2 linked regions of the Sus scrofa genome follow. The protein of the gene in region 2 binds, or shares a complex with, the protein of the main gene of each other region. Links are inferred from orthologs where the notes say so. Each region holds a gene or a part of one and is shown on either strand. Other genes may lie near its edges.

Region 1 (9,124 bases), on a different chromosome or scaffold from region 2:
GGACTCCAAGGGTGGAAGGACACATCCCCTCAGGGCACCAGGGAGCCTCTGCAAGTTACCGGCAAACCTGCAGAGGAGACAGTGTGTTTGCAGCCTGCGAGTTCTCACTGTCATTCATCCACAAACAAGGAAATACCTGCATCTCCCGGAACCAAGCAGCAGCGCCCAGGGAACTGCATGTGCTCCCCTGCCCTGAACCTGCATGAAGAGGTGCCCACCGGCAAGCAAGTTCAAGGACAGCGAACACCGACCTTGAAAATTCAGTTAAGCAAAATGGCAGCCGTTCTTTTCATCAAGAGACTCATATTACAATATGGCATGATGACATTTTGATTTTTTTTTTTTTTTTTTTTTTTTGCTTTTTAGGGCCATACCCACGGCATATGGAAGTTCCCAGGCTTGGGGTTGAACTGGCTCTGCAGCTGCACAGCCACGGCAGCACAGGATCCAAGCCACATCTACAACCTGCACCATAGCTCACGGCAATGCAAGATCCTTCACCCATCGAGCGAGGCCAGGGACACAGCAACAGCATCCTCACAGATACTAGTTGGGTTCTTCATTGCTGAGCCACAACGGGAACTACCTTGAATTGCTTTAAAAGAAATTGTAGGAGTCCCTTCTCTGGGGCTTCCCTAGATTTTCCCTCTTGCACACAAAACCCAAAATATCTACTGTCTGGCTCTTTACAGGAGGAGGAAGAAACCCCTGGGGTAAAAAACCATCGCTTCTCCGACTGACACAGGAGGAAACAAAGGCAGTTCGGCCCCTCAACAGGCAGCAGGCCGGCTTCCCAGGGCATGACCTTCCGTCATCCACGCTGCCTCCAGCAGAGAACGAAACGCGGAGGAAGCAGAACCAACAGCAGAGGAAGACACTAGGGCTTCCTGCGGTGGCGCCGTGGGATCAGTGGCGTCTCTGCGGCGCCAGAAGGAAGCTTTGATCACCAGCCCATTCAGTGTTGCCGCAACTGTGGCTGCGATCTGACTCCTGGCACGGGACCTTCATGGGCGGCAGGGTGGCCAAAAACAAAGAAAAGAAAAAAGACGACACTAGAGGAGTTCCCGTGGTGGCGCAGTGGTTAATGAAACTGACTAGGAACCATTAGGTTGAGGGTTCGATCCCTGCCCTTGCTCAGAGGGTTAGGGATCCGGCATTGCCGTGAGCTGTGGTGTAGGTTGCTCGGATCCCGTGTTGCTGTGGCTCTGGCGTAGGCCAGCGGATGCAGCTCCGATTCGACCCCTAGCCTGGGAACCTCCATAGGCCTCGGAAGCGGCCCTAGAAAAGGCAAAAAGCCAAAAAAAAAAAAAAAAAAAAAAAAAAGACGACACTAGAGACTTCCCCCAGGATAAAATCCCATTTGTGAAACCCGAACAAACAGTTCTGAGACAGAACCAATTACAGAGAACGGGCTCGGGCCTGGTCTCTGTGTTCTAATGATAAGAAAAGACTCATGTAAACCATGGCCCTAACAAGTAATCATCGGCATTCCCTGGTGGTTCAGTGCTTTGAGGACCTGGGGTTGTCACTGCTCTGGCTCAGGTCACTGCTGTAGTGCAGGTTCAACCCCTGGCCTGTGGACACCTGCGTGCCATGGGCCAACCAAAAAAACACATCGTAATTTCAGAGTTCCTATGGGGCTCAGTGGGTTAACAAACCGACATGCTGTCTGCGAGGATGCAGGTTCGATCCTTGGCCTCACTCAGGGCGTGAAGGATCGGGTGTTGCCACAAGTCGCAGTGTGGGTCACAGAGGGGGCTCGGATTCAGTGCTGCTGTGGCTGTGGTATAGGCAGGCGGCTACAGCTCTAATTCTACCCCTAGCCTGGGAAATTCCATGTGCTGCAGGTGCAGCCTTAAAAATAAATAAATAGTAATAATAATAATTTCTTGGAAAGATAAATCCCAAAAAAGTAAAAATCTACAGTGAAGGCATATATATATATACACATATATATTTCTTTTTTTTTTTTTTTTTTTTTTTTTTTGCCTTTTAGGGACGCACCCGCAGTATATGGAGGTTCCCAGGCTAGGGGTTGATTACAAGCTGTAGCCACTGGCTTACACCACACCCAGGAACTGAGCCGCGTCTGCGACCTACACCACAGCCCATGGCAACACCAGATCCTCAGCCCACCAAGTGAGGCCAGGGATTGAGCCCGCATCCTCATGGGTCCTAGTCAGATTTGTTTCCACTGCGCCATGACGGGAACTCCGAAGGCATAAATTCACGTCCCATTATTTCATGAGTGAGACTCCATTATTAAGAGATTTGGCTCAGGGAACTAGAGTCCACCTCCTGTAATCAACCACGATGGAAAAAAACAATGAAAAAGACGAGTTCCCGTCATGGCTCAGGGAAAAGGAATCCAACTAGTATCCATGAGGACGCAGATCTGAGCCCTGGCCTTGCTCAGTGGGCAGCTGGGATGCTGTGGGGTAGGCCAGCGGCTAGTTCCGATTCGACTCCTAGCCTGGGAACCACCACACACCGTGGGTACGGTCCTAAAGAGACAAAAAAAAAAAAAGACCAGGAAAAAAAAAAGACGAAAAAGAATATAATTCAATCACTTTGTTGTACAGCAGTAACTAATCCAACATGTTAAATCAACTAGAGTTTAATAAAACGAATTTCAAAGGAGAGAGAGAAAGATCTGGAAAAGCAATGACATCTGAGGTCCTGAGCAAGAATTCAATCCATCAATAACCAAGATCCTGCCCCCTGCTGGCCCTCAGGTGTCCTTTTCCCCTTTAGAGGAGAGAGATGGACAAAGCATCAAGTATCAAAGAAATACCATCTCCTAAGTTTACCGCAATCCCAGGAATTGAGAATCAAAATAATAAAAGAAAATCCACGCCATTGACAATGTCATAACCACACTAGTCCTACACACAGGAGTCAGTTTTGGATTCTTGTTTTGGGATTTGGCGTCTCCACCTTAAGGCATTTAAAACCCTGAGAAGGTGGTATCGGATTTTAATTTTAAGTAAATATTCAGAATAAACGCTGATCCACCGAGTTTGCAACTAACAGCTAAATACTTAAGGACAGCTAGTGTTCTAAGTCAAAGCCCCATTTTCTTGGGTGTGCCAACATATAAATAAATGTTTACGAGCGTCAGCTGGTGGCGAGAGAAAGCTCACTGCCCACTAAACGGGAAAGATGGATAACAGGACCCTAAATAAGACGCACTTGGTGTGGCCACTGCCCCCAAACACAAGTTCTCCCTGGACGTCAGCAAATTCATCCACTGCCTGGGCGATGGGGGCCATCTCCTGGCCCCCCGGCCGGGCCACTCTGAGAAGGCTGGCTTTCTGCCACACCGGCAAAGATGCTCAGAACCCGCAGTTCCCTTCCAGCTGGGAATCCGCCCTGGGGAATGAGGTGAGCAGATGCTGGGCAGCGGGGCCACCCGGCCCTAGTCCCTCCAGCGGTGTCCACACTGAGCATTGCAGCACTTGTAGAAGGTGGTCATGGGCTCGTCGGCAGAGCGGGTCTGGAGCTGCATGAAATAGGCCCGAGGATGCTCACACTTGGGACACGGCTCTGGCGTGAGAAAAACAAGGGACCCACGGTTACTTCAAAAAGGATGCCCAGTGTGGCACAGAGGCTGAAGAATCCGACTGCAGCGGCCTGGGTTGCGGCTGCGGCGCGGACCAAGTCCCTGGCCGGGGAACTTGTGGCATGTGGAGGTAGCCCAGAAAGGTCACGGTCATAAGGCAGTAAGCCACCTCAAGATTCGAAATCAGGTCTGAACAGCTCCAAAGCTTGTGCCGACACTGGTTTTGGAACAAAGAAAGTATCAAGGAAGGAGTTCCTGTTGTGGCGCAGCGGAAACGAATCCGACTAGGAACCATGAGGTTGTGGGTTCAATCCCTGGTCTCACTCAGTGGGTAAAGGATCTGGCCTTGCTGTGGCTGGGGTGGAGGCCAGCGGCTGCAGCTCTGATTAGACCCCTAGCCTGGGAACCTCCATATGCCGTGGGTGGGGCCCTAAAAAGCAAAAAACAAACAAACCAAAAAAACCACCACATGAATAAATAAAAATTTCTAAGAAATTATTAAGGAAGAAAATATAGACTTCCTCTTCGCAGAAGCACAAGCAGACTGCCACGGAGGGGCAGAGTCAGCAGCCCCGTACCATCCACAGCTCTGCCCGGGAACAGGCCTCTCCCTCTCACCTGCGGTGGAGTCGACGTTCTCCCAGGCAGCTGCTCCACCAAGCACGTCATCCACTTCTTTCAGCTTTGGGTACTTCCGATTCGTTACCTAACAAACAACAGCCACTCTTCAGTCTCTCCAACTGACTGAACCGCACACCCCAGGATCACCTAACCACACCTGCCCGCAGGTGTCTGGCTTCTTCCACCCTTCAACCCGGACGGGAGGGGTACTGGACAGGCAGAGGCCCTGCTCCATCAGAACTTAGAGGACCCATGATTGGACTGCCCCAAGAGAAGGTCTCTGCAAGGACTGGACAAAGCAAGAGGAGCAAGAGAAGCATGGCTCGGGTATGGCCCTCCTCTTCTCCCACACCCCCTAAGGCTGGGTAGCCCGAGACGAGGCCCCAGAGAACTGAGGCCAAAGAAGGGCAATCTCAGCCGGGGAGCCGCCCCCCCCCCCCAGGCTCCGGGCAGAGCTTTCTAAGCACTTGCCAGGTTCTACCAGCCGTCCTTGACCTGTCGGGGTAGGTAAGAGTCCACCCTCCGCGTCGTTTCAGACCCTAAACTCCCACAACACGGCCACATGGCAGGACACTATACAAATCTATACAAATACTAAGGAGAAAGTAGCACTTGGGAGTTCCCTGCTGGCTCAGCGGGTTACCGCCCTGGTTCTGTCCCGGTTCTGTCGCTGCTGTGGTGCAGGTTTGCAGGTGTGGAAAGCGACATAAGCAAAAGAAATCTTGGTGACTCCATTTTGCTGAAATGCCTTCCTGCAACCCCCCCCCCTTCCCTCTTCTCCCAGTAACAGTTTGTTTCAAATTAGCCAACTGGGAAGAACGTGCACCCTGACCTGACCCACGGGAAGGGGACAGGGTACATCCCCTGTGTTAGGGATAAACAGGGGAGGGTCCTTTGTTCGGGGCACGCGCACTTTTTGGGGTGCCCAGCGCCCTTCTGCAGCAGTAAAGAGCCTTGTCGAGATCTCCCCGTGTTCACGTGCCTCATTTTTCGACAATGACGATCCGAGCCACGTCCCCAGCACAAGGAACTTGTGCATGCCAGGGTGCCGGGGGCGCGGCCAAAACAAAAACTAAACAAACAAAAAGAAAGAAAGAAAAGAAAGTATACTGGAAGGCAGTGAGCCCTATATGAAAAATAAAACTAGGGAACGGAAAGGCCGCATTTATATAAACAATCCCTTAGGTAAATACAGGCAGGAGTGACAGGAACGAGTGAGTCCCTAGGGGAAGAGCGACTAGAACAGAAAACTCCTGCACAGACCCTGGAAGCAGCGCCTTGGGCAAGACCGGGGCGCCTCCGAGAGGCTGGCGGTGCGGGCAAGAGGCTGCTGGGACGCGAAACCCAAGCAGAGGACGGAGCTAGGGGAGGTGAGGGTCAGGGCCTGGCGCGCTCCGCGAGAACGACGGCTGCGGCCCTGCGTGCCGGGAGGCCGGCGCGGACCCACCTTGCGGGTGATGTTGTGCACATAGGGGCAGGTGTTGCAGGCGAAGCGGTGGCAGCGCTGACCCTCCTCCACAATCAGCCCGTTCCCGCAGCCTGGGCAGAAGAGCAGCATCACGACAGCCCAGCCTACGCTCCCTGCAGCTCCCTGGCCGTGGACTCCGGGGGCTTCCGGGCGCCCCGAACTCCCCATTGGTCCCGGCGGCCGCCTCTCAGCAATCAGCCCACCAGTAGGCACGTCGGCTCCGCACTCCCAGTGTGCACTGCGGCAGGCTGGCTCCCAAAGCATCATTTCTCATTGGTCCTGGCGGTAGCCCCGCCCCTCGACCAAAGGCCGGGCCGTGGGTGGCTTTCCCCGCGGGAAGCCCGGGAATCCCGGGCCCGGGTCGCGAGAGGCGGTGTGGGGGCGGAACCCGCGGGCTGCGAGGCGCCCTGGAGGTGGCGGGGGCCTCGGGACGGCCAGAGCCGCAGGAGGACGAGGAGGATGAGGAAGAGGCACTGCCGCACTCCGAGGCGGTGGACGTTTTCCAAGAGGGTCTGGCCATGGTGGTGCAGGACCCGCTGCTCTGCGACCTTCCGATCCAGGTGCGCATGGGTCGGGGCCTCTTCCCCCGCTCCGGAGCCCAGCGTCAGGGAGAGGACCGATTCTGGGGTACCGATGATGGCAGCGGCCCGGAGACCTCCAGAAGCGGCCTCAGGGCGTAAACGAGGGTCTAGGCTCCGACTGGGCCTGGGAGGCGAGCGAGGCACTGGTCTCCGGCGCGGCATTTACGAAGGGTTCCCTGGTAGTCTAGCGGTTAAGAACTCCGCCATTGTCACTGCTGTGGCTCGGGTGCTGCTGGGCGTGCGTTCGACTGGCAGAGGAACTCTCGCATGCTGCGGGCATGGCCAAAAAAAAAATAAAAAAGGAGCGCCAAAAACCCGCTAGTCAGGACACATGACATTTCAGTATAGTGTTTTGGTTGGTTTAGGAGGTTTTTTGTTGTTTCGGCTTTTTGTTTTTGTCTTTTTAGGGCCGCACCTGGGGCATATGGAAATTCCCAGGCTAGGGCTGGAATCCGCTGGCCTACACCACAGCCACAGCAACTCAGGATCCAGAGCGGCATCTGCGACCTTCAACACAGCTCATGGGCAACGCAGGATCCTTGACCCACTGAGTGGGGCCAGGGATGGAAACTCCAGTACAGTGTTTTTAAAACTCAACATTGGTTTATAAAGACCTAGGGTAAACAAAATGATATCATGTCAGATAAAAAGACCAGTATTAAAGATTTCTGGAGTTCCCATCATGGCTCAGTGGTTAACGAATCCGACTAGGAACCATGAAGTTGCAGGTTCGACCCCTCCCTGGCCTTGCTCAGTGGGTGAAGGATCTGGCGTTGCTGTGAACTGTGGTGTAGGCTAGTGGCTACAGCTCCGATTAGACCCCTAGCCTTGGAACCTTCATATGCCGCCAGTGCAGCCCTAAAAAACCAAAAAAATGAAAAATAATAAAGATTTCTCCATTCTCCTCAGGCTTCAGTATGACCTGGCACACTCCTGTTTTTAAATCTTTGTATTTTGCCCATCATGAAAATGTTAAATTAGTTTGTTTTCTTGATAGTGGTATTCGTCTTCTGTTGCCCCGGTAAATGTTGCACCCCTGCCCCAGCCTTGCCTGGGGCCCCAGGGCCTGAGGGTTTTTTTGGGGGCAGGGGGAGCCCTCCCAGGCTGGGCACTCAGGCCCAGGGCTGCCCCTCCCATCCAGCTGCTGGGCCGGAGGAGCAAGGGCTGCTCCTCAAGGAGGCTGTTTCTCTGCTCTCCTCTCCCGGGTCTCCGCCTCCTTGGCAAAGGTGACCAGGACTTGAGATGGAGGTGCTGAAACACTGGGACCCCCCCTAACCCGTAGGCAAGAACGTTCCCCAAATATGGTACCGCTTTGTTTGAATGATGGGCTGGTTCTTCTTCCCTTTTGTTTGGGGCGGTGAAGCAAGCTCCCGCCCCCAGCCTGGGTCTCTTCTAGGTTACTTTGGAAGAAGTCAATTCCCAAATAGCCCTCGAATATGGCCAAGCGATGACAGTCCGAGTGTGCAAGACCGATGGAGAAGTCATGCGTAGGTGCCGCCTCCTACCATCTCAGGCTGAGGGGCGGAACTCGGGGGAGGGCCTTAGCAGGGCCGGTCAGGGGCAAAGTCGGGGCCTGGCCCGGGGCCTTGGGAGAACGCGAGGGCTCCCTGGCCAGACTTGAGCCTCAGGAGGAAACAGGGCTCAGCAGAGCTCATGGCCCTCTTGCCAGCGGGGGTGGTGGCTGCGGATCCCCACCGCAGGTCTTCCTGCTTGCAGCTGTGGTTGTCGTCCAGAACGCCACAGTCCTGGACCTGAAGAAAGCCATCCAGAGATACGTGCAGCTCAGGCAGGAGCGAGAAGGAGGCGTTCAACACATCAGCTGGTGAGTGGAGCCGCGGCTCCTCGCAGCCCTTCCTGGGAGAAAGTGTGGAGCCCACTGAGCGCCTGCGGGACATGGGCTCGTCCATCGCCCAGGCTCCGCTGCAGAGCGCAGGCCAGAGCACTGACTCCCTGCCCCAGGTTCACACGGGTCTGGAACCGGGCAGCCACGTGTCTTCACGTGGGGCTCCCTCAGGGCCCTTCCCGTGAGTGCGGAGGTGGTGTCCGTTGTCTCAGATGGTGCAGTGTCCGCCCCTTGCCTGGGTGCTGTCAGCCCTCAGTCTCCTTCGGGATCAGCCGTGTCATCTCAGCACAGCCGCTGTTTCCTTAGCGAGGGGCCTGCTCCCAGCCCCCCACGCATCCCTCAGAGCAGTGCCTCCCCGTTCCCGCCTCAGGCCTGGGGCACGCATGGTCCAGGGCAAGATCCCACAAGAGGGGCCTGGCTGCCATGGGCCCTCCTCACTCTGCTCCCAGGTCACGAGTCCCCATCTTGCAGGTCCTATGTGTGGAGGACATACCACCTGATGGCTGCGGGAGAGAAGCTCACAGAGGACCGGAAGAAGCTCCGAGAGTAAGTCTAGGCCGTATCCTGAGCTTCAGCACTGTTGCCCTCTTGTTCCCTGTGCTCTGCCCTCGGGCTCGCGTCCCCCCAGGGGCTCTTAAAGGAAGGTGGATCCTTGGAGTTCCCGTCGTGGCTCAGTGGTTAACGAATCCGACTAGGAACCGTGAGGTTGCGGGTTCGATCCCTGGCCTCGCTCAGTGGGTTAAGGACCCGGCGTTGCGCTGAGCCGTGCTGTAGGTCGCAGACGCAGCTTGGATCCCGCCTTGCTGTGGCTCTGGCGTAGGCCGGTGGCTGCAGCTCCGATTGGACCCCTAGCCTGGGAAACTCCATGTGCCGTGGGAAGCGGCCCTAGAAAAAGGCCAAAAGACAAAAAGGAAAAAAAAGGAAGGTGGACCCTAAATCAGTTCCCGGGGAGTGTGGGGGGTGGGGGGTCCTTGGTTGGACTGAGGCCCCCTGCCAGGTGGGCGGAGGCAGAGCAGCAGCGCCAGGCCCCTGCTAGTGGCAGTTCCGGG
Region 2 (9,155 bases):
CTACTTCCCTTTTTTTTTTTTTTTTTTTTTTTTTTTTTTTGGTAGGGCCGCACTTGCAGTATATGGAGGTTCCCAGGCTAGGGGTCAAATCGGAGCTGAAGCTGCCGGCCTACGCCGGAACCACAGCAACGCGGGATCTGAGCCGTGTCTGCGACCTACACCACAACTCACCGTAACGCCGGGTCCTTGACCCACTGAGCAACGCCAGGGATCAAACCCGCAACTTATAGTTCCTAGTCGGATTTGTTAACCACTGAACCACGATGGGAACTCTCTCTACTTCACTTTTGACTAGCTGCAAATTTTGTGGTATCTCCTGTTCTTCCTATTTAATTTATTCTCTCACATTATTCATCCTAAAGCATCATTCTGATTATGCTTCTCTTGTCATTTTCCCTCTCGGCTAGAGATTAAATCCCAGCTCCGTAGCCAGGTATTCAGAGCCCTTTTAAAATGGCTGCACTGATCCTCCTGACTCACTTGCCTGTAATCATGTCTTAACTACCATTTGCTCCAATAGAGAAACCTCTTCTTCTCTATCTGACTGCATCCATTTTCACATTAAGATCCAGCTTAAGTCCCTCAACATTCACAACTGTCATTTCATTCCACCTTGCTCCTGGAAAGATCCTCCTGTTAAATTAAATGGATTTTTAAAAATTGAGGTGATACATATTGTTCCACTCTTCAATTCTGGAAGAAATACAGACAATGCCCCTTTTGGGAAATGGGCCTTTTCCAAAGAGAAGGAGTTTCAATTCCATTTTTGTTTATTTGTTTGTTTCTTCCACTGTATTAACAGCAGAGATTTCATATACCTACTACCTAGAAGAGTGCTCTCTATACAGCAACAGCTCTATAATCAATGTTAAGCTTTCCTTATTTGTTTACTTATTGTGATTTTATGAGCAAATCTCCCTACAGAAATACAATTCAGTCTGCTCACTTATTAAGGTTTTTGGTTTTTAACTTCTAGAATAAGTTTGGGACCCAGCTGTACACTAGAATCATCAGGAGAGTTAAAATAAACCAACCAACCAACAAACAAAAAGCTCTCAAGCATCACGCTGGAACAACGCATTCACCTCAGAATCTCTGAAGATAGGATTTAGGCAATAGGACCTTTTGTTTTTTCTTTTTTTTTTTTTTTTTTTTTTTTTTTTGTCTTTTTAGGGCCACATCCGCAGCATATGGAGGTTCTCAGGCTAGGGGTCAAATCAGAGCTACAGCTGCCCACCTATGCCAGATCCATAGCATCTTGAGATCGGAGCTGTGACTGAGACCTACACCACAGTTCACTGGCAACAGCAGATCCTTTACCCACTGATTGAGACCAGGGATCGAACCTGCATCCTCATGGATACCAGTGGGGTTCATTAATGCTGAGCCACGACAGGAACTCCCTAGCACTTTTTAAGGCATCCCAGGAGATTACGTGTAACCTAAGTTAAGAACCACTGCTCCAGACTAAATTTCCTGTTATATAGAAGAGGAAAGTGAGACTATGAAGTCCGAAGTCCATTGAGTGCCTAAAGACAAAGAATTAATTCCTAACAAAGATAAGACTGCATTAAAGTGTCAGGATACCCTTCCATTGTCCTTAGCATTTATATTATGCTGCCTGCAGCACACTACCAGGTTAGCTGAAGACCTTTTAAATCGCAGAGATGTCTTTAATCTTTACAATGAAGTGGAATAGTAATGACCAAATGGATTGGATTTAAAAATATAAAATCAGAGGCACCACCCTTCCATTCTGGGATGCTTTCTGAAAATTTCTGTTCAGAAGTGTTCTAAAATAGTTTGACAAGTGCAGTTCAAGCATCCAAGAGCTGAAATGCAAAAGCATGGAAACAATCTTGTGGCAGAGGTTGCGCTCATGCCCGAAATTCCTCCTAGCTCTAACCTTGTGAGTTATAATTGTGGCTTAAATGTATTGTCTTCCACTTCTCACAGTCTCTTGCACAAATTTGCTAAGTGAATAAACATATAAGCAGGTATGGATTCTGAGAGAGGCACTGAAAGTCTGGTCACAGTATCCTTCCTGATGAATGACACTTAAATTGCCCTATTCAGAAGCTGGTCCTGTTGACCTTGTCCTCGACTCCCTTGATATCCTCATTTAATGGTAGAAGACTATCAGTTCTGTGTCCCCTTTCACATATCTGCCTTTCTTCACCATCCCTGACCCGGACCAACCTTCCCATAGCCAGACTTCCTCTTTCAAACCACTCTCCAGACATCCCTCTAGAACATAAACCTTGATGTTTCACTCTCCTTCTTAAGCAACAGAGCTTTGGAGTCTGACTTTGTGCATCTGGCACCTTCTCCTTTCCTGACCACTCCCAAATCTGCCATATCAGCTCTTGCTTGTAGTGTTCTTTCTGCTGGGATGCCACATCCACCTGAGCAAGCCCCATCATCATTTAAGATACCATGCAAATGCCACTTCTCTGAGACCATTTCCTCCACCCTAAGTGGAGCTAGGCCTCTCTCTTTTCTGTCTCCCAAATACTACCCTGTTTTATTACCATTTAAAAAGCATGTTGTAATCATCAGTTCTTGTCTGTCTCCCCATAAGTTCTTCAGTTATCCTTCTTCAAGTATTAATTAAGCACTCTTAGGTCAGGCCATCTTCTATGAATTGGGAATATAATAGTGAATAAAACAAAACCCCTGTTTTCATGGTGCTTAGAGTCTACTACAGGAAAGGGAAAAAATATTTCATAGAAAATGTCAGGTAGTGATCAGTGATGTGGAAAAAAAAAGCAGGAAACATGGGTGCTATTACAGAAAGAGTGGTTGAAGAGGTCCTGTATTCTGTAATATTTGAGCACAAAACTGACAGAAGGAAAAGGCCATGCTGAGAATCAGGAAAGGATATACAAGGGAAAGTGTAATACAAGCAGAAGGATCTGTAAGTGTGAAGGCCTCTTTGAAGATTTATTCACCTCTTCCTGCCCCATCACCAACTAGAGCCTGGCAAAAGTCCAATAAAAATTGGATGAATTATTGCTGAGCTCATGGCTTAGTAAGAATATCACTCCAATTCACCTCCCTTTACCTAGAGGAAAAATAAAACTACAGAGAGCTCTCTACTTTCGTGCTGAGAACATCCTAACAACAGTGGTCTTTTAAGGCCAGCTCAAATGCCTCTACTCATCAGTCCCTTCCATGCATATTCTCATAGCACCTGGTTTTTACTTCCTCTGGGGTACATATCTCATTTGCTTTTTACTGCAAACATTTTTGTGAAGATATTGCTTCCCTCAAATTCCTGAGAACCCAGATCATGACTTTAAAAAAAAAAAAAAAACAACACAATTCTGTTTTTCACACATCATTTAGCTGAGGGACTTGTACATAAGGATAGCCCTGAACAGAGTGTCTGGATAAATTCTAACTAGGTTAGGTAAACATTCAGAAAAGTTGCATCCCCCTCAAAGACTTAAGGTTTATAGGGAAGGAGAGAACACCTCTCCCTCTATGAAGGCTTATTAGTAGCTGAGACAATAAGGGTTTTCATAATTATCTTTTATAATGCTGTCTCATGGGTCTCTTTATAATTTTTCCTGGCTGGATAGGGAGGTTAGTCGAGTTCTCAAGGGAATTGTTTAAGTCTGAATGGATATACCAACAGCGAGGAGCTGAGGGATGGGGACAGGGACCTTATGTTAATACTAGGGATGATTTTTTCAGCTGATGGGGCCACACCCAATCATTATCCACTTTTCCTGCCCTCACAAGGTGCAGCTGCCTCCACCCTTCCTTAGTTGAGCCTTTCTACCAACTTTCTTTGCTCTCTTCCAACAGCGGGCAAAGTAACCAAAACAAGGAAGGGGAGGGGAAGGAATATATAATTTAATTTTTCAGAAGAGAAGTAAAACCTTATCAACAACACCTCTCCTCACAGTACAGGGTAAAGTGCTAACGGTAAAAAACAAAAAACAAAAAACGTACTGAATAGTGCGTCCTTAGCAGCAAGTCTGCGGCAATGACTCGTGTTTGAAGCAATCATACCATCGGAATTGAAAATCAACCATCAGTAAAAGCATAAATTCCCTTCGAACTCACTGAAAACAGTCCTAATAAGTGGAGACAAGATAAAATCTGGAACGACGATTTCAAAAGATTGTGAAGGGATTAAGAGATCTCGCTACGTCCCTCAATCCAGAGGCTCTTTAATGAATCTCCACTCCTGCCTTCCCCGGTCTTTTCCACGTGCCCCTTTAACTCCCCCCCCTACTCATTCCATCTCCTCCCAACCCCTCCATTGCCTCCTCTGTTACCTGCTTACTAAGTCTCGAAGCTTGAGAAAACTGTGCGGCCGAAGTGCCGGCCGGCAAGGAAGGGGTGCGGACAGAAGGTTCCGACGCCGAGTGCTGGTTCCACCTCTGGAAAAACGCGCTCCGCCCTCCACGAGGCCTCAGAATCGCGTTCCGATCGCACCAGTTAGCTCCGCCCACTCGCTAGGTAGGCCCCGCCCTCTGGGGAGAGAGCTTTTTATCCCTTGGCGGGAACCGTACCGGTCCAACCTCCTTGGCCTGACTCTTTCTGCGCCGGCTGGAAGTGCGCATCACGGCGCGCGGTGTGTGGGCGGCCCTGGGGCCTTCCAAACCTGGCCCCTGCCCTCTACAGTCAAACACCTGGCGGTAGGAAGAGTGTCGCTTTCTGAATCCCTTGTCTACTGAATTGACGCTACTTTCTGCTGTGGCCTCTGATGCTGCGATTGTTTCTGCACCGGGGTGCAAGGAGATAGGTCTCTGTTCTTTGCGGACCGGGAGGGAGGGTGCGGAAGGCAGCGTCTCCGAGAGTCCTTCCTCCTCCCAGTTCTCCTCCCACTCCTTTTGCATCCCCCGCCCCCTTCTTGCTCTGCGCCTTCTTCCCGACTGCAGGCAGACCAGTCTATCCCGCCGCAGCGCCGGAGTCTGGGCAGCCTGCAGGAGGCACACACGCCCACACCCACTCCGCCTGGCCGCATCCCTACTCAGCATGTCGGCGCTCGAGTGGTACGCCCACAAGTCTCTGGGCGACGGTATCTTCTGGATTCAGGAACGCTTCTATGAGTCAGGCAACCGCGCCAACATCTGGCTAGTGCGAGGCTCGGAGCAAGACGTTGTGATCGACACAGGCCTGGGCCTGCGCAGCCTCCCGGAGTACCTGTACTCTTCTGGCCTTTTGCAGGACCGCGAGGCCAAAGAGGATGCGGCATGCCGGCCACTGCTGGCTGTGGCCACTCACGTGCATTTCGACCACTCCGGCGGCCTCTACCAGTTCGACCGGGTGGCAGTGCACCACGCCGAGGCCGAGGCGCTGGCTCGCGGGGACAACTTTGAAACCGTGACCTGGCTGTCCGACAGTGAGGTGGTCCGGGCTCCGAGCCCCGGCTGGAGGGCCAGGCAGTTTCGAGTGCAGGCGGTGCAGCCCACCCTCATCCTGCAGGATGGTAATGGCCCTTCACGAGCGCGCGCTCTCTCATTAAGGGAAGGGATTGGGGAGAAACTGTCCGAGGAGTGCTTGTTGCAGACGTGCGTGGCTGTAAGGGGCCTTATTTTGTCCCATCGCAGAAACACTACTTCTGTTTCACCCTTCCTGATTCAAAACCCCAGTCGACATCAGGTCGATGGTAGGCCGTCTTAGTCCTCCTTACCGGAGACCAGCTCTGGCACCGGGTAGCAATGCAGAGTACTCAAATGAGAGCCGGCCCCACCCCCTAGTCAGTTTCCTGTGTAACGTACAGCAATAACACCAACAGAGTCTTATATCTAGGATTTCCATTCTTTCCCCAAACATCTGTCCGACATTTTCAGGCACTTTTCTAGCGAAAAGTCTTCCTTAAAAGGAATGACGCCTCATGGAGAGTGCATGTCATGCTCTATGCTTTTGAGAACTGCTGACTTCATCTGCCCGGTTCACACCTGTAGGCTTAGAAAGCCATTAGAGAGCAGTCAGTGGTTTCAAACTGTTCATTCATCCTTATCTTCCAGATAGGTTTCTGTTCTTGATGTTGCCTCACAAGAGAAGAAGCTTGATAGTGAACATAAAAAGTAGAGTATGTCTGAATCTTAGAGTATGGCAGCTCTCTGTTCTGGTTGAAAGCAAGGCCTGAGAAAGATTAATGAATGAGGAGGCTGTTTCCGATGATGGTGAAGTATGTGGACTGATGCATAAATCACCTTGGGCTTCTTGGCTCTGAAAAAACAAGATGGGGTTCAGAAAGAATAAAATAGGATAGGGTTCCTGCCCTTCCAGCTCTACACAGGCACTTAAATAATTGAACCAGTCATAGCAGTGCTGTTTGTATATTTTCTTTTTAGGATGCTTTTGATGATTTCATTTAATCCTGACAACTCATTGGAAGCGAGGTTGCTGACCCCTAATTAAATGGCTTGCCTAGAATTTACAGAACAAGATAGTAACAAGAGCTAGGATTTGAACCCAGGTGCAATAAGATCAAAGCATGCAGCTCTCACGTTAATCCTCCATAAAACTGGTAATTCTGAGTAGGATGTGAAAGTCCCTTTCATTTCTATCGTGAAACCATTTTATTTGCCAATTTAATCTATTAAATCCTTCCTCTAAGAGGTGGAAAAATCTAGTTGCTGCAGTACAGTAAGGTTCATTTTATGACCAACCAGTATGCAATAATGAAATATTTTACAAAAATGAGATCTTGATCACATGAGATATAAAAAATAGAAAGCAAGATTGTATATCTCACACCCTGCTTAAAAAGTCTTCATTAAAATTTTAAATCTAAAAATTAAAAAAAAAAAAACCCATGGGTTTAGATGGGAGTCCTACTTTACCTGACAATTTCAGATGAAAGAAAACTACATTTACATTAAATGTGCTTTTAGTTACTGTATTTCTTGATTAAACTGACACATTTAAAGGTAGGATTTCCATGGTGTTGATTGGTATTCAGACTAAACTCTGACACCCAGGACAAAAAGTCTTTACATAAGTATTTAAAATATATTTAAATTATCTAAATGAATAAATTTTTATTTATTTACTTTTTGCTCCTTTACCAGAAATAGGAAATCAATGATGAAAGAATGATAGAAATTATTGTTTTATAGATGGAATCCAAGCAAGCTTGAATATCATGCCTGGGGTCACATAGCCAAGTTAGGGAAAGAACTGGGACTAGAATCCAGGTTTCCTAAATCCCAGTTGATGGTAAAATTATAGTATTTTGGAATTGCAAGTAGCTTGCAAGTCACCTGTGCAGTGCTTTAAGCCTTTGAAAGTGTGAAAAGAAAGCTCAGTATTTACTACACACTTTGAAGGTGGTAATTCTATGTAAATTAAAATTTGTTTTTCATTAGAAGCTGGATGCCTCATGCCCTCAAATAGTATCTAATTTCCTCTTTTCTCAGGAATATTAATTTCCTGTCTCTTCTGAATGGTGTGGCTTGCTAACTTGATATTATCATTAATGCAGATGTCTGGAAGGAGATCTAGAAAAACTCATACACAGTTCCACATACATGAACAGAACATACCTAACTAACAGCATAACATCTTTATTGTTTTGGTTAGAACGTAAGACTGAATTCATCAGCTTATGTCATTTCATTTAGTGTTTTGATGACCTCTTGTCATGGAAAGATACAAATCTGTGTACTGTTTCACTAACCCAAAAGCTGAGTTGGATGTGAGGGACAAGGAGAGATCATCATTCTGTGCATCATCTTTGATGGAAAATCATCTTTAATGAAAAAAACAACTCTTCCTACTAATAGTAAAGTTGTATCTTCCTTTAAGAAGATAGCAATAAACCTTAGGTTATACAGCACATTCTTGAGTGGGCACACATCATTTGGACTATTTTTCATAATATTCAAGTAATATGAAGTGCAGGCATTTTGACCTCTATTGTCCATGTTTAAATAATTTTCCCAGAGTCACCAACATATTAGAACAGTTTTTCAGGTGAACTTAAATCATGTGAAGAGGTTAAAAACAAAAAACAGATTCCAGAAAGGAAGCAGCAATTTGAACAAACACATCTAATGTGATTCCTTCTCAAAACCACACTAAGATTACTGCAAGTGAACCATGATTTGTCTATTTTATGTATAAATTCACATTGACTGAGGTTCTATTTTGGATACTGGAGAATAAATATGGTGATCGAGTTAGCAGGTTTGTGTTTGTTTGTTTGTCTTTTTAAGGGCCGTACCCACAGCATATGGAGGTTCCCAGGCTTGGGGTCTAATCAGAGCTGTTCCTGTCGGCCTACACCAGAGCCACAGCAACACCAGATCCAAGCCGCGTCTGCAACCTACACCACAGCTCAGAGCAAGTTGGATCTTTAAGTCAGTGAGCGAGGCCAGGGATCAAACCCACAGCCTCATGGTTCCTAGTCGGATTCGTTTCCGTTGAGCCACAATGGGAACTCCTGGGTTAGCTGTCTTATCCTATGCTGGCAATGGAAAATTCAGAACCATTCAGGTTTGCACTGCAGGAGACCTAAAAGGCTCAGGAATTAGCACTAGCTGGTACTTTAGTAGAGGTTAAGGGAAGCATACTAAAATAAGTAGAATTGGTTGAAAGCCATTTAAGAAGCTGTTAATAAAACGCTGGAACTCTTCCTAATAAAACTCTCATCTCCCACCCAGTTAGTTTGTTCTCTAGAGAGAATAAAACAAAGGGGTTTCTTGATTGAGGGGGGTACCAGGTACTACTGAGCTCAGGGGTTTAGATGGAAAATAGAGGAGGGGTAAGTGTATGTACATGTATATAAAGAAAAAAGAGAGAATGCATATGTTTTTTACTAGTTTCCTGGAAGGATGAAAATCCGGCCTTTACTCCCCAGGTAGGAAATTAAAAGAATCTTTTTGGAAAATCTGCCCAGCCCTAGAAAAAAAAGACTAAAGTGCTAATTCTTAAGTAATCCTTGGCTTGAACTTTTTTGTTATTGGAAGTTCCTGGGCTAGGGGTCGAACCCATGCTATAGCAGCAACCCAAGCCATTGCAGCCACAATGCCAGAACCTTAACCCCCTGAGGCACATGGGAACACCAAAACTGGCTTTTTTTTTTTTTGCCACACCACAGCATGAAGTTCCTGGGCCAGGAATCAAACCCAGGCCACTGCAGTAACCAGGGCCACAGGAGTGACAATGCCGCATCTTTAATCTACTGA

The links.
Region 1: POLR3G (region 2) and POLR3K share a complex: the UniProt entries of both Homo sapiens proteins name them as parts of the RNA polymerase III complex. The link is inferred for Sus scrofa from reciprocal best matches to the Homo sapiens genes POLR3G and POLR3K.

Annotation. Positions count from the first base shown.
Region 1 is NC_010445.4:41,568,468-41,577,591, reverse strand, and holds POLR3K (DNA-directed RNA polymerase III subunit RPC10), read right to left. Parts: upstream 5,864-9,124; 5' UTR 5,820-5,863; coding exon 5,631-5,819; intron 4,269-5,630; coding exon 4,181-4,268; intron 3,547-4,180; coding exon 3,419-3,546; 3' UTR 2,548-3,418; downstream 1-2,547. UniProt on the Homo sapiens protein: Core component of RNA polymerase III (Pol III) which synthesizes small non-coding RNAs using the four ribonucleoside triphosphates as substrates. Can mediate Pol I proofreading of the nascent RNA transcript.
Region 2 is NC_010444.4:97,643,529-97,652,683, reverse strand, and holds the start of POLR3G (DNA-directed RNA polymerase III subunit RPC7), read right to left. Parts: upstream 4,429-9,155; 5' UTR 4,290-4,428; intron 1-4,289. Other genes in the region: MBLAC2 (metallo-beta-lactamase domain-containing protein 2), read left to right, coding at 4,993-5,446. UniProt on the Homo sapiens protein: DNA-dependent RNA polymerase catalyzes the transcription of DNA into RNA using the four ribonucleoside triphosphates as substrates.